Linked DNA regions of Rhinolophus ferrumequinum. Each later gene encodes a partner of the first gene's protein in a complex. Links are inferred from orthologs where the notes say so. Each region holds a gene or a part of one and is shown in the gene's direction. Other genes may lie near its edges.

What was found.
Region 2: STX18 (region 1) and BNIP1 share a complex: the UniProt entries of both Homo sapiens proteins name them as parts of the SNARE complex. The link is inferred for Rhinolophus ferrumequinum from reciprocal best matches to the Homo sapiens genes STX18 and BNIP1.
Region 3: STX18 (region 1) and STX7 share a complex: the UniProt entries of both Homo sapiens proteins name them as parts of the SNARE complex. The link is inferred for Rhinolophus ferrumequinum from reciprocal best matches to the Homo sapiens genes STX18 and STX7.

The regions. Positions count from the first base shown.
Region 1 is NC_046288.1:83,036,229-83,047,064, reverse strand, and holds the start of STX18 (syntaxin-18), read left to right. Parts: upstream 1-5,580; 5' UTR 5,581-5,686; coding exon 5,687-5,854; intron 5,855-10,836. UniProt on the Homo sapiens protein: Syntaxin that may be involved in targeting and fusion of Golgi-derived retrograde transport vesicles with the ER.
Region 2 is NC_046307.1:38,786,127-38,796,641, forward strand, and holds the start of BNIP1 (vesicle transport protein SEC20), read left to right. Parts: upstream 1-5,798; 5' UTR 5,799-5,863; coding exon 5,864-5,947; intron 5,948-7,728; coding exon 7,729-7,821; intron 7,822-9,369; coding exon 9,370-9,462; intron 9,463-10,515. UniProt on the Homo sapiens protein: As part of a SNARE complex may be involved in endoplasmic reticulum membranes fusion and be required for the maintenance of endoplasmic reticulum organization. Also plays a role in apoptosis.
Region 3 is NC_046286.1:79,644,033-79,654,745, reverse strand, and holds the start of STX7 (syntaxin-7), read left to right. Parts: upstream 1-6,576; 5' UTR 6,577-6,717; intron 6,718-10,713. UniProt on the Homo sapiens protein: May be involved in protein trafficking from the plasma membrane to the early endosome (EE) as well as in homotypic fusion of endocytic organelles. Mediates the endocytic trafficking from early endosomes to late endosomes and lysosomes.

The DNA.
Region 1 (10,836 bases):
TCCTGTTGTGAGCTATAAAATGTCCTCTAAAATCACATTTTCCCCTTGAAACAGGATGTAGGAAAAATATTTTCCTATTAAGTCCTCTTAAAGTGCAAAGGAAAGCATTTACTCTGTGATTTGCCATCCAACTCAATAAAAAGTAAAGGATTCAGGCATCTTAATTATGGAAGATACTGTCAGAAAGCAACGGTGGTAGCACCCAGGTTGGGAACCAAGATGCCATGCCAACAGAACGCTGCACACGTTTTCTGGAGGGGGCTTCCGAGTGTGTATCGAGCAGTTTATTTCTGCCATTATGTCAGGGAAACCAGTAAATGAGTTTTTATGAGGTGATTTATGAAACTCCCGGGGTGGACGAAGCGATTGCTGGGAAGAATGGCACCAACTTCCAAACTGGCGGGGGTGAAGGGAGAGCGAGGACTTGAAGTTTGGAGACCATTGATTACTTTGTTGCAAGTTGTGTCCTTTCAGACGGGGTAAGCGAAGTAGGATCGTCTCTGACAAGAGGTGTCAGGGCTAGAAGATTTCAGAGGAGCGCTGCCTTATCCTTTGGATAGGTGAAAGCTTCCTGCTATAGTACATCCTTTAAGGGCAGCACTACTGTTCTCCTTATTGCTGTAGCCCCCAGGAGTGTTACAAGGAGGAGGTCTAGAAACATTGAGAAATGGAAAATTATGGGTGGATCTCTCTCTCCCTGTTCATCCAGGAAGACAGGCAAGGGGTATCTGTCCGGTTCATCATCATCCCACCTTTCTGTTGGAGCTACGCCCCTGTGGTAGGTAGAACAATGGCCCCCAAAAGGTGTCTAAATCCTATGCCTGGAACGTGTGCATATATTATGTTACATGGTAAGGAGGGGATTGAGGTGGCGAGTGGAATTAGCGTTGTCAGTCAGCGGCCTTCAGATAGGAGACTATCCTGGACTAGCTGGGTGGGCCCCTTGTCATCACAAGGGTTCTTAAATGTGAAAGAGGGAGGAGAAGCATACGTGTCCGAGTGACAGGTTGTACGGACTCAACCCGCTATTGCTGGCTTTGAAGATGGAGGAAGGGGCCAAAAGCCAAAATATGTGGACAGCTTCTACAAACTAGAGAAGGCAAAGAAATGGATTCTCCCTTGGAGCTTTCAGAAAGGAGCTCAGCCCTGCCCACACCTTGATTTTAGCCCAGTGAGACCGATTTTGTAGTTTTGACCTCTAGAACTGGAAGATAGCACACTTGCATTCTTTTAAGCCACCAACTTTGTGCTGATTTGTTATAGCAGCCACAGGAAACGAATACACACCCAAAGCCCCTAACCAGCAGAGTGTGTCCTGACAGTCAGGTTTGAACCACATGACTGGAGGCTGAGCCATAGTTGATTGGACCAGAGGTAGATGTCTGTACCAAGATGGGCCTTTGTTTTCTTTTCTGCTTGCTCAGAATTTGGGCTTGGAACTGATACATCTGTGACTAGAGGCATAACATATAAACTGAGGATCTGACAGGGGCCCATGTTTGGCCATGTGAATGAGAAGCAGAGAAAAAAGGTTTGCAAAGATAATTATATCGAAGAAGAGAGAGGCAGAGAGAGACGGAGAGAGATCTGGTAGCATTCTAGTTTCTAGCTCCCCTCTGAGGTGAAGTGCAATTCTACAGAACAAATGCCTCAGCCAGTCACTGCCTCCCACTGACCTTTGCAAAAGAGCCAATGTCCTCAGCGCAGAAACGTTGAGAGATTGGCTCCAACCAAGTGAAAAACGCAGACTGGTGGGTATTGCGCAACTACCAGATCACTAATACCGGTTCCATGGGGGGGGGGGGGGAAGAATTTTTAGAAGGGAATCTCTGCTCCTAGAATCACATGAGAGGTTAATAGGTGTTGCTCTGTTTTTCAGATGAGGCTCAGGGAGGTGAAGTAACTTGCTTAGAGTCACACAGCTAGTGCATAGGGAAGCGGGCATTCAAACCCATCTTTCAGTTTCCAAATCTCATGTATTTTTTGTTTGTTCCTTTGCTTTTCCTATTACTCATCCTTGGCTAACTACTTCCTGGAATTCCTTTTTTTTTGAACTAGAAAGAACTCAGAGATCTAATAAATGTCTCTTATGTACCCGACAACAATTCCTGTCCAGAGAAGTCTGGGCCTTACAGGGTCCAGAAGCTACAGGTCAGATATGGAGGAGGGTTGACAGAGCAGTAGCTCCCCAGTCTCTCTTCTGATGCCTTTTACTAACTGGTGTCCGCATCTGGGTGGTTCCTGGGGATTGCCTACCAGCAGACACTGGATACTCAGCAGCCCTAGGGCCTCTATCTCTGCCTGATGTCAAGGCTTGCAATTCCCACCCACTGATGATGGTAAGTGAAGTGTGCATCCAACAGTCTTGTTTTGGCAGATATCTGGATATGGGTTTATCAATCAAAAGAAGCTAATTATGCTGCAGTACCAACCAACCACAAATCTCCATGCACAACTAGACCAGAGGTTTACTTGTCATTGCCAGCACACAGCCTTGCTTGACTGTGCTCCGGATCATCTTTACTCAGGGACCAGGCCGATGAAACATTGTAAAGAGAGCACAGTGAACCACATGTTATCTCTTAAATTTGCATCACATATCACTTTTTGTGGCTAAAAAGAATCACCGGGCCAGGTTATTCATCAATAGGTCAAGGACCTGTAGTCCTACCCTTGGGAGAGACCATGACTATGAGAGAACAATGAAACAGACTACCACAGGGGGTCTCCAGTCTCTATTGTTGTGGCAAGTCTGTGATTCCATGCGCCCACGAAACTCTGGTCTTCCTGTGCCACCCCGTAAGAATTCACACTTCCAGGCACTGGGCACCCTCCATGCAGCAAATGCCTGCTTACTCCATCTTTCTCTAAGGGATGTGACAATGACATCTTGGTGGCTGACAAAAACAGAAATCTATTTCTCACTCACAGCACTTGTCCATCATGGGTTGGGCATCTGAATGTGCAATATACCCTCTTTTTGGTAGAGGCTGCATTTAAGGACTTCCGTGAGAGTCCCCAAATGATTCAAAGCTGTCTGCATCTATCCAGAGGGTATGGAGGGTGTGGTTGTAGGGAGCTGTACGGGAGCTGTAGGGAATTTCAATACGCCTTACTCTTTTTCAAGAGATGAGTACCTGGCCTAATGAATGAAACATTGTTACTTATAAAACATAATTTATGTACATCAAACTGGATAGTTTGTAGCATCTCACCATGCTGTTCCTCCTTTTTATCCATATCCCCTTTCAGCTTTATGAGGTTTCAAATACCGTGTTTCCCCGAAAATAAGACCTAGCCAGATCATCAGCTCTAATGCATCTTTTGGAGCAAAAATTAATATAATACAAAAAAAATTATATTAAAACAAGACAGGGTCTTATATAATGATATGTTATGCTATGCTATAACAAATATAATATAATACCGGGTCTTATATTAATTTTTGCTTCAAAAGACGCATTAGAGCTGATGGTCCGGCTAGGTCTTATTTTTGGGGAAACACGGTAGTTGTTAGTCTGCTGTCAACTGGAGTTCCCTTGCTCTTTGAGGTCGAAAGAGTAAAATAAAATAAAATAAAGTAATAAAAAAGTGAAGTCTCATATCCCATGGGCTGTGGCAAAACGAATGGCCTCCACAGTGACTTGTCTAGGAATAGCAGGTACTTGTGGTTACTGTGCCTTTAGAGCCTGATGTTTTCAGCCTATTTGGGTCTCACCTTCAGAATGTTCCCTGCTCTTGCAGATCCAGAAAGAAAACTCAGACCTTTGTTCCCAGCTCTCACGCCGAAACCCACTGCACCAAACACACTGCTCACACTGCAGGTTGGTGTGGTGTCGTTCAGCCTCCTCCAACTTAAAAACCCTTCCCCAAGGAAGCACTCTTTTCCTGGCCTCCTCCCCGGGCTCTGGTTTCCCTTTTACCCTAATTCAATCCCCTTCACTACATTATGCAGAGCAATTCAACTCTTTCTTCTTCTCTGCCCCCAGGCTCACCTTTGCATAGCCAAAGACTCATTAATGTCTTGATAAAACAAAGGACCATTTATGTAATACAGAATCATTGGCAGAGATTTTTGTAATTTCTTTCTCATTTTCTCTCTCATACTCCATAGGCTGCAGGAAACTTATTTTCTTCATACAGAAAGGCTGAAGCTGCTATAGTTTGGGTTTTAAATAATGTTTTCCTTCTTCCTTTCAGGTCCATATATGTCCTTTCTTGACATCAATTTTTGACAAATGTATTTATTTAACACAGTGGGTCTCAAACCTTTGCTCTCAGAACTCCTTTACCTTCTTAAAAAGTATTGAAGGCCCTAAATAATTTTTGTCTGTATGGGTTTTATCTATCAGTATTTACCATATTAGACATGAAAACTAAAATTGTAAATATTCACTCCCTTAAAAACAAAAACAAATCCAAACATATTAACACAAATAGTGTATTTTTGTGAAAAAATACATTCCCAAAACAAACAAAAAATGCCGTGAGAATGGCATCGTTTTACATTTTTGCAAATCTCTTTAAAGTCTGGCTTAATAGGAGACAGCTGTTCTGCATTCAGTGTTTTGCAATATCACAAGTCACACGGCCTCTGGAAAATTCAACTGTGTGTAATTCATGAGAGAATTGAGAGTGAAAAGTCAAATAACATCTTATTATCAAAATAATTGTATCTTGCTGACCACTCTTTGACAACCACTGTTTTGATATCCTATTTGTGCATCCTCTTTAACAATGAAAACAAATGAAATCAATGAGCTCGTGAATTACATCTGAACCTGAACCAAAAACGTAGTACGAGCTCACTGATTAACGTGCAAGTTAAATAACTATGACTTAGAAGGGTATGTTTAAAAATTGCGTATCAGGGATAAACAGAAACCAGTGACGTTCTTCACCTTTGTCTCCACCTAATAAATTCTTAGTCATCCTTCAAACCTGCCTTCTCTGATAGCGATGCCTTCCCTATAGACAGTTCCTCCCCACCATAAATAACGAGATTATTAACAACGGTAACTAATCGGTATCGGTCACTAGGAGCCAAGGAAGCGTCCAAATATTTTACACGTGTAAAATCTCATTTAATTCTCACAGTAACACTCCGAGGAAGGTACTGAGCGTCTGGTGGCTGAAGGCTGAAAACGAAAGGCCTCTGGCCTCTCGCTCTGGGCCACGCACACCTGCTCTGCCCTAGCACTAATTGAACCCAGATCGTCACCGTCCCGCACACGGCGAGCCCTTGAGGTCAAAGGTCAGGCCGGGTCGTTTGTGGTTCCCTGCCACCTGCGCGGCTGGGCTCAGTCAGTGCGGGAGCCGACCAGGCTTCCGCGTCCTCTCGCTCCCGGGGCCCTGACGCCCCGGGCCGGCTCCCGAGGGTTCGGGGCTCCGGCACCTTCCTGTGCCGCCAAGCGGTACCAGGTTGTCTGCGAAAAGAAAGGGGCACGGGGGTACGCATCTCGGGATTGGGGAGGCCGTGGGCACCCCACATGCGCGTGGGCGGAGGGCGGAACCTTGCTCCTCTCGCGGCGGTAACCCCGCGGAGGCCGGAACCTTTCTTCTTGCGTCCGGGTTGGCGGGCGGAGGCGTGCGGAGCCGGAACAGTCCTCCAGCGGCTGGGCTTGCGCCCTGGTCGCCTACTGCTGACGTGGGCCGGCTGGGTCGGGGGCAGTAAGTGCGGGTCGCCATGGCGGTGGACATCACACTGCTGTTTCGGGCCAGCGTCAAGACCGTGAAGACGCGCAACAAGGCGCTGGGAGTGGCGGTGGGCGGCGGCGTTGATGGCAGCCGCGACGAGTTGTTCCGCCGGAGCCCCCGGCCCAAAGGCGACTTCTCCAGCCGGGCGCGCGAAGTGGTAAGCTGGTTGTTATGGGAACGGAGGGCTGGAGAGGGCACGGACCCGCGAACGCGGACCCCAGACTCCAAAACGGACCTTGTCGCGCAAGCTTTGTATGAAGGAAGCGCTTGGAGAACAGTGGTCTGATGGGGGACGGGAGAGTTGGTCCCGGAGAGCCGACAGCTGTCCTGGGAACGTAGCAGCCTCGGAGGAATGAGGACATATCTTGGGGAACTCTACGAAGTAGATTTTTTCATAGGGGGAGGAGCCGCTAGGAAATGGTAGTCGGCAAAGGTCGTGGGCTGCTTTGCAGGGAATGAGTGCGCCGTCACTGCAGGCGTGAACACCGGGGAGACTTCCCCGCAGATCTTTGCTCTCCCGTCGCACCACTGACCGCAGTGCATTTGCCTCTTCTATTTACTTGTCTGTCTTGCTCCTCCACTCCGTCCTTACCCCGCACCCCTGCATTGAGGTCAAAGGTCGTGTTCAGCGTACCTGTCGCTTCCCCTTGTCTCCTGCAATAGGTTAGGGCTCATGCTAGGGATCAGTACGTCTTGAGACTGGTTTAAGGTATCTTTCACAAACATTCTGTTACAGTCATCTTTGTTACAGAATGTTATTTGCACGCAGCGGGCTATCGTTCAGGGGAGCAGGGACCTTCGTCTTCCGGCAGGAACAGTGTGGCCGGTGCCCCACTCAGCATTGCTTAGTATGTGTTGAATGAAAACATGAACAAATGATTGTCTGTCTTCCCCACTAAACTCTGTAAGGGGAGAGGAAACGGTAAGGGGAGAGAGAATGTTTGCTTTGTTCACTTTTGTAACCTTAGCACCAAGGGGAGGTGTTGATTTTGTGGAGCTTGAAGGTTATACAGTTCTGTCTGTTTTCTTTAAGAAATTAAAATGCAAAATCACAAAAGAAGGTTCAGAGCTTTGGGAGGTGTAAGTGGGAGGGGCCCTGAAACTTGAACATTAATTTCATGGTAAATCCACTTCTGTTTGGCATGCAGTCCAATGCCTGGTACTTTGTAGACACTCAGCTGTTTTTAAATGAATATATGTATGCATGAATTAATGAGTGGCAGTTTGCAGAGGACAATCAAATATCGGGAAGGAAATTGGACCACGTGAATTCATTCAGTCCATTTATAAACATCCATTAAGCACCTACCTTCTGACCAGCACTGTGTTAGAATAACACAATTTAAAAGGACTGGTGGGGGAAACAGACATATTAACCAAACATGTGCCCTAAAGCCTTGTAAGTGTTGTGTAGAGCACAGAAGAGAATGTGTTCAGTTCTACCTGAATGCCAAGAATGGCTTTATAGAGGTGATACTGCCTGAAACAAATCTTGAAAGAGGAGTAGTTGTTGGTTCTACTGCAGTCAGGGTGCAAAAGGGCATCTCAGGCTCCAAGAAGAGGATGCACAAAGGTGTGGAGATAGGTTAACTTATGTTTGATTTATATACTCATGCATGTCTACCCGTTAAAGTACAAGCTTACTAGACAGTAATGACATTTCAGATGGGGGTTGGGGAAGGAACTCATAGCTGAACTCCCCCCAAACAGTGATGAATATGCTGCTTTGTAGTGAGAGTTTGATTAGTAAATTCGTTTGGATTGTGGGGACTAATGGGGGCCTTGGGAATGAAAAGAGAACTAGGACTTGGATTTCAAAGACTTGGGTTCTGGGTTCTGCTACTTAAAATTGGTGACTTGGGCAAGTCCTATTACCTGAGTCTCATTTTCTCTTTCTATAAAATAGAAACGATAATACCTTACTTAACGGATAAACTAATTATTAGGATCTGTGAGGCTATCCATGAGTATATATCATAAAGAACCATACTGGTTATTATTGTTTCCCTTCACTTCTTACCCCCAACCCCGTGTAGGCTGTTAGACTATTTTCATCATTGGTACCAAGTTATATTCCCTAAACCAGTTAGCTTTCTTGTACTTTTCATTCCTTGCTTGCAAAGGGGAACCAAATAAGTGCAAGAAGGAATCGGTGCAAATCTCGTGCAGGTACTAATAGCATCAGTGGGGACAGCAACTTTCCTTTGGCAAATGTGTGGCAAGCATCAGCTGTCTGCATCTCTTCCTCCCTGTGACCCTGGGAGCAGATCTGGGTAGCTCAGATTCCTTTGCAACATTGTGCCCCAGGCAACCATTACCAGTTGTTGGACCTGACATTCAAGTTGAAATCTGCTTGACATCTTACCTGACACATAGTAAAAATAGAACCCGTATGCCTAAAGTGGAACCATGGTCTTTTTTCTGTATATACTTAAAAGGATCTTATGTTCATGTTGTTTAGGTTTCTCAATTTATAGATGAGAAAACTAACACCCAGGTAAGTGAACCGACTTGCCCAGAGTCCTAATAGCTGAGGTCGTAGGACAGAGCCTGAGGTGGAAGCCAGGTGCTTTGACCCCAGTTTAATGCTGTTTATTACGCAGTCCCCCCGTCCCCCATCCCCCTACCTTTAATTTCCACTGCAATTTTAAACCCCAAATTCTTTGGCTTTCGAATGGCAGTGAGTTTCTTCTTGAGTTAATACTGAATTCCTAACTGGAGACTGAATGGTTAGGAAGACCTGAATTTGAATGCTTCCTAATGTGTCAAGTTGGTCAAGTTACTTAACCTCAGTTTCCTCACTTCTAAAATAGAGCAAGTAAGAGCAACCTTGTAAGGTTGTTGTACAAATGAAATGAGAAAAGTTATGCTGGCCCCTGCATGCGTGTGAATTCTTATAGTTGCAGGTAACGGTGAGCTAGTCAGGTAATTCACCTGAGCCAAATGGGAATGTCTTGGCTGATGTAGCTGGAAACACAGCATGGGCCTTCTTTCCCTGGCTCTTCCCCATCACACCCAGGAAAGGACACTCGTTGATTCTGCCTGGATCCTGAGCTCTCATTGTGGCATCAGAGCGATAAGGTTCTTCCTATGGCCAGGTGGTATGTCCACCCCAGTAGGTGGGTGGGATACTATGACTGCTGCCCCGCCCGGACTTTGGAAAAGGGAGTGCTGTGTCTAGGAGTGTGGAGTGAGGGATGCTGGGCGGCAAAAGCACCGGAAATGTCCCCACAGTGGCCAGCGCAGTGCCTGAATGCCTCCCCCTTGCCCGCCTGGTGGTCTTCACTCTGGGGGGAATGAAAAACTGGAATTGTGGGAGTTTGGAATGACAGACTTTGGGTGTGCGAATGTGTCTGGAGGGGCCTCGGATGGCAGCTCTTCATGTTCTTACTGACTTAGGAAGGTTACAGAGGCCAGGGAAAGCACCACACAGGAAACCAAGACCCCTCTAAGCGGCCAAACTGTCCAGGGGCGGCAGGGGCCAATGAAAAGCACAGGAAACCTGTGGTAGCCCAGGCCTGCCGTTAAGAGGGCAGGCCACGTAATCTTCCTGGGCCTCAGTTTCCACGTTGGTAAAACTCAGAGCTCAGACTAGATAACGGCAACGATTTCTTGTCAAACAAAGATGTTTTGATTACATATCAGATAAGAGCAACCCTGAGTTGTTGGGAATTCTGCTGTCAGATGAGGCATGTCGATGAGGTTTTCTTTGTGTAATATACATTGCTTGTGTGAAAGCTAAATGTCACATATTTTTATTTTCTTAGGAATTGATTATCTTGAGTTCCAGTTTGAAATTCAGAGTGACCCGCAGCCAGATGATCTGGTCCCCAGGACTCTCTGACTCGCCTCCTTTCTCTCCTCTTCCTCTACTCCCACGCCCTCGCCTCTGCCTTCTCACACGCCGCAGGCGCACTGCTACCTCAGGGCCTTTGCATATGTTGTTCCCTCCACCTGGAACATTTTCCTCCCAGATTGCACATAGTTTGGTCTTCAGGTCTCTGCTCAGACATTCCCTCATGAGACCTTCCTCGACTGCCCTGGATAAAGTAGCATCCTTTTTCTGTCCCTTACTCTGCCTTATTCTTTTCATTATCTAACATATCACATATCCATTTATTTGTTGTTTATCCACTAGAATATACACGTCATGGAAACAAAGACTTTGTGTAGCTTACACTGAACCCATAGGTGCTAGAACAATGCAGGGACATAGGTACTCAAATATATTTCTTGAACCATCAGTATTTCTTGAATTAATGAACGTGTGTTAATCTGCTGTGCTGCTTTGCTTTCAGTTTTGGAGCTAGTTGGTTTCTGTCCAGGGCTCCTTTCAGTTCTGGGACTGTGTGATCCTAACACGATGCCTTCATATTCCACAACATATGTGTATTCTTAGTGCAGCGTCTGCAGTAAACATTAGATAAACGGTAGCTTTTCCTTTGTTAAACTCATTATTTTCTTAAGATTTGGTTCCTACCTCAGTCCAGTGGAGAAGCTGACACATAAAAAGTATAAAACTCAGGTATGAGTGACAGGCATCTCTCTTGACATTGATTCCACAGGTCCTCCTTGATTTTCTTCTGAGATGTAGTGTTGACCTGTGTGCCAGTTTGGGGACGTAAAGGTTGAACCGGGACCACCTGGGTTATTACCTAGAGTAGCTGGAAGTAGACTTTCTCCAAGGACTGGCTGTAATCGTACTTAGACAGGGGTTTCAGTCGAGGGAGCATGGCTTGAAGAAAAGGTGCCAGGCAACAAGTGGCAAGGACCAGTGAGAAGCCCGAAGGGCCAGACAGGAGAGGAGAAGATCAGGAAGCAATGTAGGTTTAGGCTGCAGGCTTCGCACAGAGCTTGCGCTGTTGAAGCAGGTAGTTGTTAGTATTAGTAGTAATATTAATATTAATGCAGAAACCTTTTTACCAATGAAAGAAGGAGCAGTTCTGGCTAAGGCTGGGATGAGGGGCTGGGAGGAGGGGTTTGTTAGCCATCCTGCCCTCTACCACCCTGCTCCCCTGTCCTTGAGGAGCCCCTTTGGAACCAACCGTAGGGCTCAGACACACAGGTTAAAAGCCACGTGTTAGTGTTCTCCAGGGCCTCTCTTAGCTTCACACTGCTCTGTTTTTATGGGTCGTAATG
Region 2 (10,515 bases), on another chromosome or scaffold:
AGAGTTTGTCTCCACATGAAAGCATGCTGTCCAGTTCTTGTTAATAAGATCTTGTCTGAGTTTTGAATTGGGTGCCACACTTTTTCAGTCAATATGACCGCTTGTTCTACTGTACCATGTATGATTCTTGTCCTTTCCTAGATCCTTCATGACACATTATGATGTGGCTTTATATTGTGCCTTACTTGTACATTAAAACAAAACGTCTTCATTCTCTTCCACTTCCTAAATCTTTCACTTTGACCTTTTTAGTAAGAGAATCAGAGCTATTATAAAAACATCATGAAGGATTTCAGATGAGTCTGGTTTCAAGTTCCCTCTCTTTATAGTTATTTTATGTTTGTATGGAAGACCAGTTTTGAATGGTCTTTGAATATGAGGGGGAAAGAGTAGCAGTAATTTTACTACATCCCTTTTTTTCTGATGTTCATGCATTTGTCAGACATCTTCTTTCTGATGCTTGACTTTATTTGCTCCTTAGCAATAGTCTGCATTTAAAGAGATGTGTTCAGTTCATCAACTTGAAATTGACTATTTCATTTTTCCAGAATTTTTTAGGAGAAGAGTACCCATTTTGTTTGTTTTATAAAACAGATGACAAGTCTCTTTAAAAGAAACAGAAGTACAGTAATTTTGAAACACAATGCTGTTAGTTTGGATTTCTTTTTTTATATATAATATTCATACAATTATCTGATGTTTGCCTTCATTAATAAAGCTGTTAGTTTATTCACCAAAATGTCAAGAATGGATGTGCTTTTCTTTATTCCATACATTTAAAACTATTTTAGCTGCTAAGATTTAGTTAACTTTCTAAGAGACGAATTCAAGTTGCCTTCAACAGGAAGTAACAAATTTATGTTCCCTTTATATAGTCTTCCTGAAATTCTGTTTAAGTATTTTCTAGTTAATTATGTAACAGAATGTTAGCATCTCTCCAAATCTTGAAACTTGAATTTTGAGAATGCATTGAATTATGCTTTCAGTGTTAAAGTAAAAGGTTTCAATTATCCTTCTAGTGAAGTCTATTGTGGAATACCATTTCCCGTGGAACTGAGGCCATTTCCACAACTTTGCACAGAACTGCAGTCTTGTTCTTCCCTCGAATCATGACAAATAAGTCTCACACAGTGCCGTAATACTTGTGGATTCTTTTGTAATCTTTGTAATCTTAATAAGGGCATTATGAGAAGATGACTCCATGTTTTTTTAATATTTCAAACACAATGGGATGTAACAATGTCAGCTGTAGGAATGGTTGTTTCGTTTTAAGGAATAAGCATGTTAGGGAAAGATGATGAAAATGTACTACTGAAAGTTTTACACTTCCATAGGCAAGTGGGGTTATGTGTTGAAGCATAATCCTCATGCTTAGTAAACTGACTGAAATTGTAGAAACTACACCTAGAAATTGAATTATGCCAAATTGCCATTTTTTTTGTTTCGAAAAGAGAGATTTGGGGGTAGTAGTGAGAGAATAGAACCTTGAAACTACTTCCCATAGTATTTTGGAATTGCAGACTTGGTGACTACTCAAGAACAGCCGAGTTGGGTATTTCGGTGTGCCAAGTTCAGGTGAACTAGGTTTGCCTTTCGTAACTGTCAACACAATGGTGTCGTTGAATTCTGGGGGGACGGGAGCGGGACTGATTACTGTGTCTTGCCCTTCGCCCTATTATTTTTCAGAACCAAATAACAGAAATGTGTATGTGTGTACTGTATCTGCCTTTGACCACATTTTTATGACACTGTACTCCACTGCCTGCTTTTTTTTACCTTCTTTCCCTAGGATTTGTCCTATAACTTAGAATTTGTGGTTAACAGTGATACGAGGGCTGACCGCACATAAGTCACAAGAGTGGAAGGGCAAGAATTCAAAGCATTTATTCATACAATGTGGCAACCTCTCTTGCATAGCTGTGTAGGATCCTGTTTGTAACGCTATCATAAATATTCTGTAGTTTTGTTTCCCCACCCCCCTCAACTGGAGCTATGAAACTTTTTATTGGATTCAGTCTTGTCTTTTGTCTAGAAAGAATTTTATCTTGTTGACGCATGAGCTGTTTAAAAATTATTCTATTAAATGTTGGTTAATAGTTGTGCAGTTTTTCTTTTCAGAAGAAAAGGCAATTCAGCTGTTGCCTTTGTTTTCTGTCATCTTCCAAGCCCTCAGCACTTCTAGTCAGATACAGATTCATCAGTGTATGCAACATCCTTTGTAATTTAAAATAAAAAAAGATGAAAAGAAAAGCTCTTGAATTGTTTGCCTCATGTTTTTGCCCTTCTGTCTCTTGCTCTTCTGTTGCTTACCAAGGTAACCATCAACTCCCTTCCAGAAAATCCACTGCAAATAAATTCCAAACTAAAGACAGCAATGAACTATGGATCACGCCCCCCCCCCCTTTTCTTGGTGTAGTGTACAAAGAGCTAACTTTTTTTTTTTTGACACTGTGGGCTGATTCCTCCAGTAATTTAGCAAAACTTATCTATAATGTAGAATTATTTATTGATAACACTTGCATTCTTCATAGTTTAGAGCATAGTTTAGTGTATAGTTATTCTCCTCTGATTCTTTGGACAAGTGATTTCTCTGAGGGAAATTAAATATTTTGTTTCTTATTCGTTCAAACATCTGTAGGTTTTTGTGTGTTTAATAATTCCAAGTAAGTCCTCAAGCTAGGCTGGACATACATAGAGCCTTCAGTTGGGAGACCACTGTAGCAGTGAGTTCCTTTAGCGAACAAACAGACTTGCTCCTTCTGCCAAGACTTGTGCCTAGGTACTGGGCTCTAAGGAGACTAGAGACTTCCAGTCTGCTGAGGGAGGTGGCCTGTGAACAGGACCACAGAACAACACAAGAGTTGTTACACATGCAAAGGGCTCTAGATATGTTACCGCCGAGTTATTTGCAAGGACACAGATACCACATCCAGTGGGGTATGTTAGAGAAGAATTGACAGGCTTGTGTTCCTTACATGCCTGGACCCATGAAGAGGAGCCCTTTTTGCTTCCCTTGAGTGACACAGAGGCCGTCAGGAAGCAAAGTGGACATAGCCTCCCATGGACTGGTTGTGCTTCAGGACTTGACCTCAAGACCACTCTTCACAGGAGCCTCTTTCATGGTCTAGGAACTTGAAGGAGCTGGGTGAGTCAGGTCTGTCTAGTCCTTAGACAACTAAACCTCCTGTGTCACCCAGTTAGATGGGTCATTCAGTTGTCCCTGCTCATCAACATTGATTTCAGAGCCAGGAAAGCTCCTTAGCCACAAAAACTTTAGCTGGGAAATCTTTTAATGTCCCAGCTGGAAGGTTCAGAACAGCAAGAAGGCGTGAGAAAGTCCTAGATGGTCAGGGTGGCATTCATGAAGCCCCTGCTCAGTGCTGTCTTGTCAGAGAACTCGGCTCCTGCTCTCAATTGCCCAGTGAAGTGGGTGGTCATCAACTAGACTCAGATAAGGGCACTCACCCCGGACCCAACATATAACAGCTCCAATTCAAACTCCGTCTGTTTGCTGCACTCGGAAACAATTCACACTCCTAAGGCCAAGTCACAGGCAATATTTGGATGGATGTCTGTGTGGAATGGAGATAATGGGCTTAGAATCTGACAACCAGAAAGGACTAAAGTCAAAACCTAACACATTTAGTAACCAAAAGCTAGTCTCAGGATCAGTGGGTAAAGGCGATGAGAACAAAACAGCGTTGGCAGTTTGGCAGTGGGTCACCAAATCGCAAACCTCTCTCTCAAAGATGGCCGCTAGCTGGCAGGCTTAGAATTGGGTCTTTTTGTTAGAATGGAGTATGTCGGAGAGTAGAGAAATGGGGAGATGTGTTTTCTTCTTAAATTGCTGAGAGAGGCAATTGGGAACTGTTGATTGCACAGGTATTTCCAGCAAGAAGCATGATGTGAAAGGGCCCCAGCTCACATGGGCAGATCTGTCACTTGCAGACTTTGGGCTTCTTCACTGTCTGGAATAGGGAGCTTTTGTTTGGGGATCCAGAACGTATGACCTGAAAAATCTCAACCTCAGTTTCTTTAAAAGGTTTTAATTTGAACATTGCCAGGAATGAACTGAACTGCATGAGGTCTAAAGAAAACTTGAAAATACTAAGGGCACAGAAAACTTGAACAAATAACAGATAGACCAAGTTCTTGAACAGGAACAGTCTAAGAAACTGTTCAAGAGAACAAAGCTGTCAGTTCTCCTAAGTTAAATAAAAAATGTAATGCCATCCCAGGAAGGACATACCAATAGGGTTAAAAACAAAACTAAGTTCACATGAGGAAAAGAATAGGTGGGAGATGCTGGGGAAAGAAAAGGGGGTGTTCAATCCCAACATAGTAAAATACATAAAACTATCATTGTGAGTGTCATTTTGGTGCATGAATGAATGGACAGGCTAATGACAGAAATAGATTCAAACATAAGAATTTAGTCAATGTGGCATCCTGAACCTGTGAGAAAAAGATTCTTCAGAAAATACTGTTGGAAAAACTGGGTAACCCTCTAGAAAAAATTAAGTTGGCTCTACACTTCACATCATAAGCCAACATACTTTTCAAAATGGGTAAAGATCTAATGTAAAATAAAAAAAATTAAAAATCATAAAAACAATTCCTGTGGGTGGGGGGAAAAGCCTTTTTAACTTGGATTTCAAATCCAGGAGTCATAAAGACTGGTAAATTCTATGTGGAACAAAAATAAAGCAAAAAATTTAAACCTTGAAGGCCAAAAAAACACCGTAAGCCAACTAACTCAACATTCTCTAGGCGAAGAAAAAAGCTCACGGCTAACGGCATAATCCTCCTAATACACAAAAAGCTCCTGGGAACTGATATGAAAAAGACCAACAACCCAATAGAGAAATGAGCCAACAATAAGTCAATACAAATAGTCCTCAACCTCATTCATGATAAGAAACATGCAAAATAAAAGATGGCGTTTTTCACTTAATCAAATTGGCAGAAATCCCAGTGTTTGTTAACACATCATGTTGGCAAGGCCGTGGGAAAGCAGGCATTTGTACCACATGCTAGTGGGAGTATAAACTGATAATGACCTCTGTGAAGAGCAGTTCGGTCGCATGTAGCAGAATTTTTAAATGCACATACCCTTGGACCTGGCAATTCCATTTGCGCCGGGCAAAGTTATTATTCTCCTTGCCTATTTCCTCGTGTGTAAAATGGGATAATTCTATCTCGTGGGGTTGTTATGCGAGTTAAGTTAGATGATACACATAAAGCACTTAGTACAAGTACCTGGTACAGAGGAAGTGTTCCCGAAGTGTAATAATAGCCGTCAAGGTGCATTGTGTTCTTACCACATGTCGCATTACCACACTGCGTGGTGCTTTTCATGTCTTATTTAATCCTCAGCCCACCCTGTGATTCCACCAGGTAGCCTCTGAGGAAACTGAGGCACAGAGACGTGAAGTGGGTACACTGTGAAATATGAAAATACAAGAAAGTTTAAATAAATATTTAAAAATTGTTAATGCCACCTTCCAGAGACATCCCAATCGATACTTTCCTTCCAATCTTTTTTTTTTCTCTCTATATGCAAAAAAAATCTGTAACCATTACAGTGGCAGATAGGCGGAAGATGGGGGAGAGGCCACCGCGAAAGCGTTCTTGATATTCCCTCTTCTCTTCCTCTCCGTTTTATTAGGACCACACCAAGAAACGAGGCCGATTCCGCCCTGCCCCCTCACCCGCCCCCGGTGTCAAGGACAAGTCCCCACGACTCGGCGCCGCCACTCTCGCTCGCCTCGGGCCGGTCTATAGGGGGCGCTGCCGCGAGACCGGGAGGCCGAAACGCGTTTAAACTTGGCCACCGCCGCTGCCTGTAGTCGGCGTCTCCAACATGGCGGCTTCCCAAGATGTCCACGTCCGGATCTGTAACCAAGAGATTGTCAAATTCGACTTGGAGGTGAAGGCGCTTATCCAGGTACTGATTCCCGGGACCCATGTCGGGCTCCAGCCGCCCTACACCCGAGCTCCGCTGGTCTCCAGGGAGCTCCGCCGTCTCACTCTCGCGCTTTCCCCACTTGGTCAGGACCCCAGCTGTGGAGGACTCAGGACGGGCCCCGAGCACTCATAGGTAGCTCTGTGGCCGGCTACCTCCTCTCTGTACCCTCTTCCCCTTGACCATGGGCCTTGAGCTTCCATCCGGGTGTCGTTGGCTCGCGCTCATCCGGGACACCCCCGTGTCCCCCTCCCCTGACCAGGCTTCCCCTTTGTGGCCCTGCTTGGTCCCTGCCATCCGCACCCCTGGCTGGCGCCTCGCCCAGGACCACCTCACAACCTACCTATCACCCTGCTTGGCCCCGCCCCACTTTTTGGTAGCGCTTTGGAGGCATTAGCCCTGCCCCCTGCTGGCCAGCTCCGCTGGGTCCGGTGCCCCGTGGCACTCAAGACCACTTGGCACGGATGAAATGAATGTAACCTGAACCGTAGTTGTGATTTTGTTAAATGAGGGAATCGAGTCAAGTGCCAACGCCTGGATCAGAAGGCAGGTAGTAGCAAAACTGGGACCTGCACGGGGAAAGTCGGCCTTCAGAAGGGACTTAGTCTCTACTCTGAGATAATTGAAGGTGCTTTGGCTCACGCCATTTAAAGGCAGAAAGCTGTACAATAAACCATGGCATAGGCAAGAGTTAGGAATGTAGAAATGGTTCCTTGAGGTTAGCAAAAGAAACCAAGAGTTTTAAACCCTGTTTTAAGCAAGTCGTTTCTATTTCCCACAAATGTTACTAAACATCAGGCGTAGGCTCAAAGTTTGCAGCTAGCTGAGGCAAAAAGTGAAGGAAAGGAGGGCTCCCCACGGAAACCAGATGTAAAATAAACTGAATTAGTGGTTTATCATATGGTGCCAGGAATTGTGATTTAATGAGTAAGCCAGAGAACAAATGAGGAAACTTGATATAAACATTTAAACTTCTTGAACTTCCTTCTCCCATGCATAAACTAAGAAACGGACCAATTCTAGACTCTGATGAGAAAGGTTAATGATAGCTAGATTCACTGCACTCTTACTGTGTTCCAGCTCCTCTGCCAAGCACCTTACATACATACATGGTCTATGAGTTAGGTAATGTGTTGATGAGGAAACGGGCCCAGACAACTCAAGTGACTTTTTCAAGGTTACATAGTTAGTAAATTGCTACAGCAAGAATCTGAATTCACATAGTCTGGCTGTAGGGCCTGCTCTAAAACCTGACTCCAGTAATTCTGAATGTTCAGAAACAAATTCTAAGTCTACCCTAGAATATGTGTATAAACACTGTGATTTATAGTAGGTGGTTTGTAGAATCAGATTGAAGTCAATCTCGTCCTACGATGCCAGGAATTTAGCACCCTGGTTTTCAAGTTGGAAAGCTCTAAAGTTATGGTATCACTTTTGGCTGTGCATTTTAATTGAACACACAAGCTGCGTTAAGCCTTTCCTACCGGTCGGGTGGCATTTTGTTAAACTTTAGGAACTAATAAGTCGAGACAGAGTTGTGTTTCTTTGTATCCTTTTATATTACCTACTCAAAATTAATTTAAAGAGGGATGAGAAAAATGTAAATGATAACGTTCTTGCTTGTGTCGCAGAGGTGAACAGCAGCGATCACGTCAGTAGGCCTACCTTAAGTGGTGGTCTAAGCTAACGCTCTCACTGTACAGACAGTGTCATTTCATTTCATTGCCTTGAGAAAGGCCCCTCACCTCTTCGATGTCTCCTAGGATATTCGAGATTGTTCAGGACCATTAAGTGCACTGACTGAATTGAACACTAAAGTGAAAGAGAAGTTTCAACAGTTACGACACAGAATCCAGGTGAGTGGCTGCGGAACTGAGATGCTGAGAGTCAGGGGACTTGGTCCTGGGACTCACCGCTGTCCAGGTTCTTGAGGAAACATTCAGACAGTGAGAGTAACTGTACTAAGCTGCTGTCCAGGTAAAAATGAGGAACTGGGAGTGCAGAGCACTGCCAGCTGTGCTAAGTGGATGGCAGGGACACCAGTCGTCTTTGCTTGGAATTTTTCAACTTGAAAACTCTGAGGTCACTTGAACTGCTTTTTCTCTCGCGCTGTCTCCAATCCATCCCCATTGTCTCCTGGGTTGTTGTTTTTTTCAGGCTGCCGCTTTGCCCAGCCCCTTCCTTTCTGTTTTCTGTAGTGACCAGTCACAGCATATGCACATATAACACTCTTGAATTCAACTGTGGTATAGGTGCCGTCTTAAAAAACCAACAGGGAGAGGTACCAGTTTGAATAGTACAGGTGTTGCTGCCTCTGTGCCTTCAGTGAGGGTAAAATGGGGGGCGTGGATCTGCCCATCTCTGGGTGAGTCTTGCGCACCTGGTCTGGCTGCATATGGTACTGAGGTTTAAAGACTTCTGCTTTTCATATCGCATGGCTCCAAATGCCAGCCAGCAACTGTTGTTCCTTAACAGAAGAAGACAGTCTGTTCCAAAGCTGGTAGAAGAACTGGCCGTTTAGACCCTGAGAAACAGTATGTCTATGTCCTGTGTGGTTTTCAAGCCCAGTTTTGAAAATACACTTTTTGTCATAGGAGTTCACTTTAGAATTTTAGCAGTGTCGCTGAACGTAGTGTCTTTTCTGCCTTCATCACTAGCACTGATTTAATCATTTTAATGTTTTTGAAAGGGTGTTGCTCTCACATGGTTTATACATATGTGTGTGTATGTGTGTAAATATTGGCACACAGCGAAGTCTCAGTTATTCTCCTTTTGTGTTCTCCAAACAAGTAACCAACCACCTTTATTTGTTACTTATGTATCTTTCCATAGTTTTCTCTACTCAGAGACTAAACAATGCAAATAATGTTATTTCTTTCCCATTTCTCATCTAAAAGGTAACATGTAAAAACACTGCCTTTTAAAACTTAACAATATGTATTGGAAATCTTTCCATATCAGTATTGGGGAGCTTCATCTTTCTTTCTTCATAGCCATATTTTTTTTTTAGTTAGTCCTCTATCAAAGGACATTTATTTGGATTGCCCTTTTTTTTTTTTTTTGCTTCTTAAAGCTAATTTATTCCCTAAAAGACCTTTCTTTCTTCCACTCACATGACTTCAACTCTCCAACCATACCCACCAAGTATTTCCTTGTTCTTTCTGTTAAGTGCCTGCTCACCCAATGTGTATTTCCTGCATTAATGACAATTACCTCCCCAGTACATTTATATATTTATTATGTCTATCCACCACCCTCTGTCATCAGCTCCTCCTGGCACCAGTCGAGGCCCTGTGAGCACGTGGACAGTGAATGAGTAACCCCATCCAGCTTTAATTTGTATTTCCTAAACATTCATACCTGGAAACACATACAAGATTTCTATTTGTTTGATTTTTTTTCAGATCTTACATCCTCTTTATTTATTTGCAACAAGATTGTGTGATGCTAGGAGAATAATTGGCCCCATAGCCTCAGGATATGGTGTCCTGTACATAGTAAGTGCTGGGCAGTGACTGTGGAAATATCTGTGTGAGTGTCTTTGTGTGCAAACTACTTTATACCTTTTCTTCCAGAACTATCTCTGGGTCTCTGTGAGAGAACTTCCAGGCAATCTTTCACGAGGAAACTGTACATTTTTCCCTCCCTCCTTCACCTCCCTCCTTCCCATACATCCATTCTTCCCTTGGAGAATTTGGTGCCTAATACGTATCAGACACAAGGGGTATATTTAGTGAACACTAGATACAGCACTGCTTTTGCAGACTTCATATTCTAGTAAGAAATCTAGATTTTAAACAAATAATTATGCAAATTAACTAATTACATTTGCAGAACTTTTCCAGTTCACATCCTTTTTCCTCTACCTCAGCAATACCTGGGGCCATAACTTGGAAGTCACCTCCGAGCTATTGAAATGGTGGATACAGACATTTGTTCTTGACCAGCGTGTGCAAAGTGCAAATTAGTATATACATAATTAGTGTAGAAATGAACGAATACAGTGTTGTTTTAGCATCAGTAGCTTGATTGAAACTGGAACTTGCTTTAATCTGTAAACAAAAACACATGACTTGAGAGCTGAGATGTGGTGCCGTCTTTAATTATAGTCTGTCAGCAGTTCCGTGTCTGACGATCTCGGGGTCTCGGGCTGCTGGCTCTTACGTCTGCGGCCCCTCGCTGTGGTGGACCGTTGGTTTCACCGTTCCGGCTGTGTGCAGTCCCCTCCAGCAGACCTTATCTGTGCATATAGCAGCCTGGCATGAAGCTAAGTCTCCGGAGGTTTTTGCGTTTGCTTTGGCCAGATCTCCTGGGATGATCCCATGGCTGGGAGCACTTTTCATGTTAATTTCTCCTCATGGAGGTTCTCGAACCACTCAGGGAGGATGAATTTGAACCCCAGGTCAGCTTGAGGGTAGCTTCCTGGTTATAAATTCTCAGGGGAGGTGTTTCATATCCCTCTAGCCAGAGCCCATAGCAAAAAAGGATGAGCTTCCGTGTTGTCTCTGTGCTGGTTGACAGACGTTTTCCTCGTTCACCTGTTCATTGAG
Region 3 (10,713 bases), on another chromosome or scaffold:
CTCCTTTCAGAGAACTGCAAAATGGGGCAGAAGGCAGGAAGCTTTCATAGGATAAAGAATAAAGGACAAGGAAGAGAAAAATAGAAACTATCTGATTGGCTGGGACCACATAGCCAACCTTGTTTGGCGTGAGAAGGCCCAAAGTTGATTTGGCGTTTGGAGATTGGCTGACTGGATAGACTGCGTTTCTGGTCAAGCGGAACCTTTGCAGGACATGAAAGTTATCTAAGTTTCAGTTTGCTGATGTGGCACCCCGGGCAGGAGTGGCGCCATCTTGGGCCTAGAAAGTTATTTCAATATTGCTAAGAGACTAGATCTTAATTATTTCCACCACAAAGAAGAAATGATAATTACCTGACATGATAGAGGTGTTATCTAATACAACAATGACAATCATATTGGAATATATAAATGTATCAAATCAACCTGGACACCTTAAATTTATACAATGTTATATGTCACTTATATTTCAGTTTTTTAAAAAAACATTAGTATGTAAAATTTTGCCTTAGACCTTTATTTTTTAGGAAAGTTGGATTAACACTTCTGTGAATTGTCTACTCTGAGGTTTTGCTAATTTTTCTAGTGTGATGTCTTAGGTTGGTTTCTCAAGATGGAGACACTGAAGGGGGGAAGAAGAGAAGTTGGGAAGAATATTCAGAGGAGAAGGGGAATAAGGAAATAAGCAGAAGGAAAGACTAAGAACGTAGGCTAGGCTGGAGACTAGCTTTAGTCCATCCCACAGAGAGTTCTGGAAGACAAGTTACACCACAGAGTTAGTTCGACCGCAAGTCCTGGATTGATGTCAATGGGTCATTGACTGAGTCAGTGGGATCAGGGAAGGTTGACTCCTGGGTGGGGCAGCTCCTCCTGAGCCAAAGGCAGTCTCCAGAGATGGCAGCTGTGATTTGTTCTTAGCTCCTACAGCAACTGTGGTTTGGTTACAATGACAGTTAAAGGAATCTGTTGGGGAATCACTAGCGTCCACTGCATGAGATTTGTCTTTCTTATAAATGATAAGAGGATGTAAACATTCTGTGTTAGAGCTTGCAGATATTTTCTTTTTATTTGCCATTCTCTTTCACTTTGTTTATGATTTTAATGAAGAAATTATAAATGTTTGTGTGAAGGGGATCAGAATATACTATCTAAAATATGCTACTTTGGCACAAAGATTATTTTAAGCTAAATAATCTTTTATCTGACTAAAAGCAGCAACTTCTGAAAAATGAGGCTGCTGCAAAATTCCTCTTCAGAGAAGGTCTTTCAGAAGGGAGAACCCAAATAAAACCTACCCCAAATCCCTTCTCCAGGGAAGTTTTAAGACCACTCATACCTGTATAGACAAACATTATCACAAATTTCCTATCTCCAGTCTGTTCTCCTAAAATCCTACTTGTCTTTCTTAGAGAAACCTATTTGTTTTTCCTAAAAGAAGACTTTTCTTCTCCCTATTTTCCCACTACTTAAGTATATAAACATCATTTCTAATCATTTGACAAACCAGCTGCTTCTTTTGTTGGCTCTTATACTCATGCAAAATAAACCTTTTTATCCTGTTAATCTGTTTTTCATTAGTTTCATTTGTAAGCCCCAGCTACTGAACCTAAGCAAATAGGGGAAATTTTATTTTTCCTCTCCTACGTGTGTTATAAATATAAATCAAAATCATTCTCTTAAGGGTTCTGCTTTCTTTGCCCTTTTCAGTCTAAGATAAGAAAACTCATTCAGGTAAAAGGAATATGACATAAGTTATAAACTTGGATCTACTCAAAGAAATGAAGATTCAGAAATGAAACATATGAAGGTAAAATAAATTTTTCTCTCATTTTTAAATTGCTCTAAAAGATGGACAACATCTCACTAAAGAAAGCATATGGGTTTCAAATAAGCATATAAAAAGATGTTCAACATCATTATGGAAATGAAATTAAAACCTCAATGAGATGCCACTACATGCCTATTAGCATGGATAAAATTAAAAAAGAAAATCTAATAATATCAAATGGTGAAAAGGATTTAAAACAACAGCAATCCCCCATTCATTGCTGTTAGGGATGAAAAATGATACAGCTAAATTGGAAACAATTTGGCAGTCTTTTAAAATTAAACATGTACAACCCAATAATCCCACTTCTAGATATTTACCCAAATGAATTTAAAACTTATAATTTTATCAAACCCTGTATGCAAATATTTATAGAAGCTTTATTCATAATTTTCAAAAATGGAAACAATCAATAGGTGAATGTATAGACAGTTTTACATCCAAATAATAGAATTACTTACTCAGCCATAAAAAGAAGAAACTGTTAATGTATATAACAATGTGGATTTGTCTTAAGTGCATGCTGCAAATGAAAGAAGTCAGGTCCAAAAGGCTACATATTGTATGATTCAATTTATATGACATTCTGGAAAAGGCAAAACTGTAGGGACAGAAAACCAAAGGTTGGGGAAGGAGTTGACTAAAGGTACTACAAAAGGGGATTTTAGGCAGATGACACTGTTCTTGTTCTGTATGGTACTGGGGTGATGAATAGATGACTCCATGCATTTATCAAAATTCCATAGAATTGTATACCATAAAGAGGGAACTTGACTCAAACTGAAAAAAAAAAAAATTTAACCAGGTGTGCTTGGTGAACACCAGACAGAATGCAGACAATATGATGATTGAACTTGACTGTAATACAAACATGACTTCACTGATGGAAGTGGGGGAAAAAAGCTGATCTTGGTAATTTGAAAAACATTGTAAGGCTAAAGACAAAAGAATTGTTCATAAACACTGTACTCAAATTTTTCTCTCACCGGAGCGTGAGTTAGCAACTCTGAAACTACATTGTACAATAAGTAATTGAATTAGATAATGGGAGCTAGGTTCCTCACTGTTAGAGAGAGGAAGTGAACAATAATGAAGCCGGGAATGTTAGAATGAACCCTGTGAACTGGATTACAGTTGGAAATATCTATATGAACTCATATATATACACTTATATATATATATATGTATATATGTGTGTATGTATATATATATATACAGATAAAATTATAGATACATGTGTATACATGAGTTAATATACTTACATTTATTTCTTAGCTCTGTGCACTGAGAAGGCATAGAAGCAATCGACACCCCAGTAGCAATGAGAAAGCTAGAGTGCAGATCTTTGAATACAAATACCATTTTCCAGTCAAAGAAACAATGGCTTCATTGTAAAATGACTGATTTTAGAGCCAGAGCAGGGAAAATACAAGATAAGCCTGGAGCATCTTGTTGTACCAACAAGTAAGGAAATGCTGGGGAAGAGAAGGGGAGGGAGGTGCTCTCAAAAGGACACAGGAGCCAACTTAAAAAAATTCCCAGTGATGGAGAGGCAACTTATTACAACCTACAGAATAAAATAAATATCCATAAATCTATACTGATATAAATAAATGATTAAAATATAAATGAATTTGGGAGAAAAGACAAATATTCCCTACAGAAGAACTGAAGGAAGTAGAAAGTCACCTTTAAAACACAACAGTAATAACTGCTGTAGGCAAAATATACTAATGAATGCTAGTCAGTGGGCAAAACTTTAAGGAAATGTAGGTTATGTTCACGGCCTCCAAGTATCTCTCTCCCAATATTTATTTACTGTGGTAGTTTAAATATATGTCCATAAATTTTTTTACATTTTTTCATTCCAGAGGTGGAACTCAGTTCTCTTGATTGAATAGAACTCAGTTCTCTTCTAATGAATATAGTATGGAAATGGGAAAATGGTAACTTCACATTGGAGAAAACTCACAGACATCGTATTAACCAGGTGATCAAGGTTAACAGCAGCAGTCATAGATCATGCAAGTTTCATGTACCACATGAAATGATATGATGAGAACACTTTACCTCCATGGTATTCTTTCCAAAAGTCTATGACCCCGTCTAATCACGTGAAAACATTAGGCAAACCTAATTTGAGACCATTCTACAAAATTCCTGACTAGTAGTCTTTAAAAAGTGTCCAGGTCATGAGAAAAAAGGGAAGACAGAAAACTGTCATAGATTGTAGGAAACCAAGAAAGCAAGCTGTGTAAATACAACATGATATCCTAAATTGGATCCTGGAACAGAAAAATCAACATTAATGGAGAACTAGTGAAATCCAAACCAAGTCATAGTTTAGTTGATATTACTTTACCAAGGTTCATTTTTTTTTACTTTTAACGAATGCGCCATGATTATGGAAGATGTTAACATTAGAAGAATCTCTGTAAGGTGTGTATAAGAACTCTGTGCTATCTTTGCAACTTTTCTGTAAGTCTATAATTATTGTAAAATAAAGAGTTTACTTTAAAATGAGGAGGGAGAGAGAACATATTCTAGTTGAAGGAGACTGCATAAGCAAAGCACAGAAATAAGATAACCTCTGGTGTGTGGTTGGACAGCTGGTGGGAGGAAGGGAGGAGCAGAAAGAGATGAAGAAGTTCTTTAAACTTGCATATTCCAAAGCATAAATTTTCATGCAGGGGAAGGCAGGATCCAGATCATGTAGGTCCTTATACTCGTATATAAGGTGACCATATAACATCGCTTCCGAAATGGGACACTTTTGATAATGAAAGTGGGTGCTCTCTGCAGACAAGAGGCTGGGACAAGCATAGGCTGGGACTGTCCTAGAAAAACTGGACGCATGATCACCTTATTTATATGCTATAATAAGGGGCTTGGACTTGATTTTGAAAGCAATGTTTTCCACAATGTATATTCTGCAGGAACTTATAGCCATTAAATATAAAAACATTTCATGGTCAAATACATTTAGAAAATACCAGGTTAAAGAAAGTTCTTCTTTTTTTACTGAACAACTTCTCAGAGCCTATAATTTACAAACATGCACTCTGAATCTTCAAGAATGTATTATACCATGGGTTTCCAGACCTTTCTCCATACACACTCTTCCCTAATTCCTTTCCTCAACCTATACAACCCAGTAAGCACCCCTACTTTTTTTAAGGAGTGTTTTTTTTGTTTTGTTTTGTTTTTGTTTTTTTAAGGAGTACATTTGGGGGCATGTTGCAACCATGGGGATGGCATGAAGCCTGGAGTGATGTTTTCAGTTTTGTGCTTCAAATACTCAGTGGTGACTCAGAAGATAATAAAGTCGAGTACAACCTGAGGTAGAGATGCCATTGAGGAGGCTATTGAAGTGGATCCAGACACCGTGAGGGATAGAGAGTAGAGGGCACATATCAACAATATTTAGGAGGTGAGAAATGAGAAATGAACGTACCGACCATGGGTTAAATGTCCATTAAGATTTCTGTGGGATGCCTATTTATTACCTCTGTGTTTAAAAATCAGAGCAACATCTGTTCTGTGCTTGACATATCACTAGGCACCTGTGTGGTCTTAGAAAGAAAACAAGCAGATTGCAGAGGGAGCTCGGAGGTGCTCCAAAATAATCATAACAAAACAACTGTTGTTTATTAGGTATTACTTTAGCTGACTTTTAATATAGCACAGATTTAAGAAAGCATCTGTGTTTTCCCATTGTGTTTTAAATCAAAAACAAGCTTTCAGAAGTCAATCTGTACCTCTCATTTATCAATAAATTCATCCTGCTTGGCCAGCATGCCCACCTCTTTCTATTGGTCCCTCTTTACAGAGGCAGAGTGTAAGTTGCTGCTTATTATCACACTTGCAGTGTAGTTTTCTTCAATAAAGATGAGAAATAGAAAATATCTCTTGCTCCCATTTCTCTGTTAAAGGTGGAAAAATGAAAGATAAACTGAAAGATTCTTGTGTTTCTTATCCCTGGCTGACCTGACTTATGTACGATATGATTATGTATGTGTAATACCAAACAACCTAAAATTGGCTCAGGTGGTACCAATTCAAAATACTGTTGTTTTTTTTCCCACCTAAGTGCGTCTGGACTTTTGATGTTCTGATGATCTTTTCAGAAAATAGTGTTGCCTTAATATAAGCAAAGGCCAAGCCAATCTATCTTCTACTTAATTTGGTGAGGTATTTCTTTCACCTGAAGAAACTGATGCTTTTTATCTAACAATGACATTATGTTTGAATATTATTATAACACTCTGTTCTTTTCAAACATATGAAAACTGTGTCCTGTCCTTCAAGGATGCTTGGAATGATTTGTACATGCTGTGAAAACTTGTCTACTAAATGAGCACATAAAGGTGACTCTTCACTTATTTTCCATTGTTCCTGCTAGGACTGTGCATTTGTGTGTCCCCCCCCCCCCCTTGTTTTTTTACTGGAGCTGTGAATATGGTCTACTGCAGAGTAAAGGGTTAGGAAACAAGACAGGCATGAGCTGATGGGGCGGGCTGAAGACATGCATCAAGAGAGGCCGGCATCACCCAATAAAGAAGACAGCTGCCCTCCATTCCCTCCTCGTTTTTTGCACGCAAGCTAAGGCGTTCACCATCTGTATGTCAGGCCTCAAAAAACACCTCCCTTGCAATTTTGCTGATACCCCCATTCCTTAGCTTAGAACGAGGGGGCGGGAGAGGACCGCGGTCACTCATCCCGCGGCCAATTGGAGGGAAGCGAGCCCCGCCTCCTTCCTGGGCTGTACTGCGGGCATGCGCAGTGGGCGGCCTACCTCCAGCACCCTTCAGTTTAGAATCGTATCTGGGGGCTCTGGGGCCTTTGGGTGCCCGTGGCCGGAGCAGGAGGAGGAAGCCGAGGAAGTTGGGGTAAGCGGAACCTGGGGGAGGGAGGGTGACCGGCCGGGAGTCCCGGAGGCGCAGTGTCCCAGCGGCTGCCGCGCCTCCCTGTTTGTACGGGATGTCAGGTGGCCGCCGCCCTGCTCTTTGCTGCAGGCGCTCGGGAGGCGGAGGGCGGCTGCTCCCCAGCTCTGGGAACCCCCGCCGCTCCCCGCGCCCCCCGGCTCGGCGCGGGTGCGCGGCGGGGTCCGGCGGCGCGGCCTGGAGGCCCGGCCCGTCGGGCCAGCCCCGCGCCGGCAGCCTGGCCGCCTCCCCGGCCGCCCCTCGGGCGCGCGGTGCCGCGGTCACTCAGGCGCACCTGCGGGCTGCGCGCCCCCGTGCGGAGCCCGCCCGGGAGCCGACTCCGGCTGCTGCTCAGGAATCCAGGAATCCAGCTTCGGCCTCGAGCAGAAGACGAGTTGACCTCTTCCTCTTTTTAACTCTCGGATTTAGAAAACACATTTTAAAGTTCTCTTCCCGGATATAAAGGAACTAAAAACATATGGCTACAGTAAAGGAACCGTATACGTTTATTCAGGGACTCATTGTTGATTTTCTATTTGGCTTGATAAAGCTAACTTGGTCTTCTCAGTACATGTCATTAATTGCTTTATATAAAGATCTTTAAAAATACGTAAAATATTTCGAGATACCTCCCCCTCTTGTTTTTCAGGTTACTTTCTTTCAAATCAAACTTGGAGAAAAAAATAACAGTGCTTTTCTGGTCAAATGCTATATATATATATATATATTTTTTTTTTTTTTTCTCAAGTGCCTTGTATTTGCTTGGCTCTTACTTACATTCATTTTTGTTTCATTCCGGTAAATGTATATATTAACTTGCACAGAATCTGAAAGAAAAGGAAATGATTATGAAGTCCGGTTCTGTTTAGTAATGCTGGGAGTGCAGGTTTCTTCTGAGGGGTGGCCTGAACCTCACTCGGCATAAACTGATAGCACGGTTACACTGTGCATTGTGATGTGAACAGACCTCTGCTTGACAGGCCACTTTGAGGAGTTTGTCTCAAACTACTTGTGACAAGTTCAGAATTATGCTCTAGTTTCAAAGTTTCTGTAGAAGTTGATATGATACCGTGTTAACTCATTAACGTCTGCATCATTTTTCTTTAGATATTTCACTTGGGCTGCTCCCCATAACAAAGTCAAATGTAGTTTTGGTTAGGGTTACAAACGTTAGCCAAGTGCCAGTGGTTGAAAAATGTGTAAAACCTGAAGTAAGTCTGAGTAAAGTTTGCCGTGATTCTATTTAATTTGGAAACTTAGTGTATGGAAGGATGAAAAATAATCCTTTGTATTGTGAACTAAAGCCAAATAATATACTGTTTTAACAGATGGAAGAGCTGAGATAAAGAACGTGGTTAATCTAGTTGATCTGGAGAATGCTCAGGTCCATAGAGTAATCACCCTTCCATTCATGGAACATCTGCCATGCACCTGACACTAAATTCCAAGGTTCTCTCTCTCATGTATATTCCAGAGGTGGGGATAGATAATAAGCAATATACTAATTAGATCATTTTAGATGGTGATTAGCACTATGATACAGTAAGTTAGAGAGATCAACAGATTGTGCCGGGGTGGTGACATCTCACTTCAGATGGGAGTGGTCACCGAAGACTTCCCTAGCATGTGATGAGACCTTGCTGGGAAAAAATGAGCCAGTCACATGGAGGTCATGGGAAGAGTTTTCTAGGGGTAGGAAATGGCACCAAGGAAGCAATTAGCCTGGGACATTCAGGATCTGAAAGAAGGTGCTGGAATTCAGTGTCTTAGAAATGGTGATATTTACCCTCAAACTGGTTGTGTGTTTTTAGGAAATAGGTACCTGTATTCAGTATTCTACAAATATTTATTAAGCACCTATTATATAGCCAGGTACTGAGAATACAGCAGTCAACAAAATAGACTGCCTGCCCCTCATTAATTGGTTTATAGAAAGACCTTTAAAAACACATAAAATATTTCAAGATGCCTCTTCTTCTTGTTTTTTAGATTATTACTTTCTTTAAATTCAGATATAAAGAAAAAAAACATTGCTTTTTCCGTCAAATGCTATATTTTGACAGAAATATATTTTCACACTTTGGGACATGAGGTGGAGGGAAGGCCAGTTCTTTACGCTGGTCCTCATGCTTAAGAAAGTGAAACTGACTTTTCTGTTGCTTTGTGTATAGATGTATTTGTGCATATCGATGGAGGGCCCATCTAAGAGAGTACATAAATAAGAAAAGGAACATTTCCTCATTCACTGTGTTTGTGTTGGCTGTGTGCCAGTTTTTCTAGAGCTCTAGTTGATAGAAGGAAAGGAAAAAGAAAAATGTCATTGAGCCAGCAGAAAATGGTCTCTATCCATACAGTAGAATATTATTTGGCAATAAAAGGAATGAAGTATTGATTCATGATGCAATATGGATGAAATTTGAAAACATGCTAAGAGAAAGAAGCCAGTGTACAAAAGAACATGTATTACATAATTCCATTCAAATGAAATGTGCAGAATAGGCAAACCTATGAAGACATAAAGTAGATTAGTGGTTGCCTACAGCTCGGAAGGTTGGCAAGAAAGGGGAAGTGACTGCTGATGTGTATGGGCTTTATTTTTAGGGTTCTAAATGTGATGCGATAGTTGCACAACTTTGTGAATATTTTCAAACTCTATTGGACTGTACACTTTAAATTGGTGGGTCGCATGATATGTGAATTATATTTCACTAAAGCTCTAAAAAAAGAGAAAAGATGCAGGATTTAGAAATCCAATTGGTGGTTTGTAGGATGCTTGGGAGAGTGTTGGTCTCATTGAATCCCCAGGTCCAGCCTTGTTCTGTGTGAGCCCCAGCACTGCAGGTGGCTGCAGGCCCAAGTCCAAGGCTACCTGGAAGGAAGTTTATTCCTGCCACTCTGCTACAGTGATTCTGCTGTCTGAGTTGAGGTTTGATTTTACTCTTTTATGAAGTTGGTTTTGGGTCTATAGGTCTTGATGAGGTCCAGAAGGCTCAGAATAGATAAATTGGACTTGTGGATTGATGGAGGAGAGTGGAGAGCATCTAAAAGTGCCCAGGAATTCCAGGGTGGCCAGGCACATTCCACGATGCACCAGAATTTCAGGCATGGAATCAGTACTGTTTACCTATCTTAACAGTCAACTGTTGCACCTTCTGCCTGCGCTGACCCTTGGAACAAAGACACCTATTTCCTTGTGGCCTCTTCTCCCCTACCAGATATCTCCAGTGGTTTCTTATCGCAACATATTCAAACCAAACCTAGCATCCAGGGCTCGCCCTATTCTGGGACATTAGCTTTGTGTGGTAGCCAAGCATGGGTAGCTTTGGAACCAGAGCCCTGGGATTGAATCCCACCTCCACCTGGTGGGTGGGTTGGGTTACCTTTCCAGTTACTTAATCTTTATAAGCCACAGAATTTGCTTATCATTAAAACAGTTTATTGGCCACTACCTACTTTAAAGGGGAGATTTTAAAAATGTAATGAGACAATCTATGTGAAATGCTTTTCACTTCACACATGTGCAATAAATGTTAGGTCATCCCTCTCTCCTTCTTTCTGTGTTGTTTCTCACTTGCCCCAGCCACGAATCATCTGACACAGGGTTGACCAGGAACTTTGACACCCTGTGGTTGCCCTGTCCACATGTTCTGGGTATATCCACCCTGGGCTTTATGTCTTTGACACCAGTCATACTCAGGTATCCAAGTCTTATATTTTTGTTTCATAAGTTTTTTTAGATAGCGACAATAGTGATATTTCCTTTTCATACTCCTTGTCATTTCTGCGTAGCACGTGACCCTTTACTGATTTGTGTTGCTTCTGTTGTTCTTACATTATTAACTTTATTCTTTCTCCTAAATGATAAACTTGATTTGGGAAGATCCTTTATCTTTGTTGTTTTGTTTATTTGCTTACAGCTCCCAAGTGCTTCTTTGAATGGTGGGCAGGTAGCAGACTCGTAGC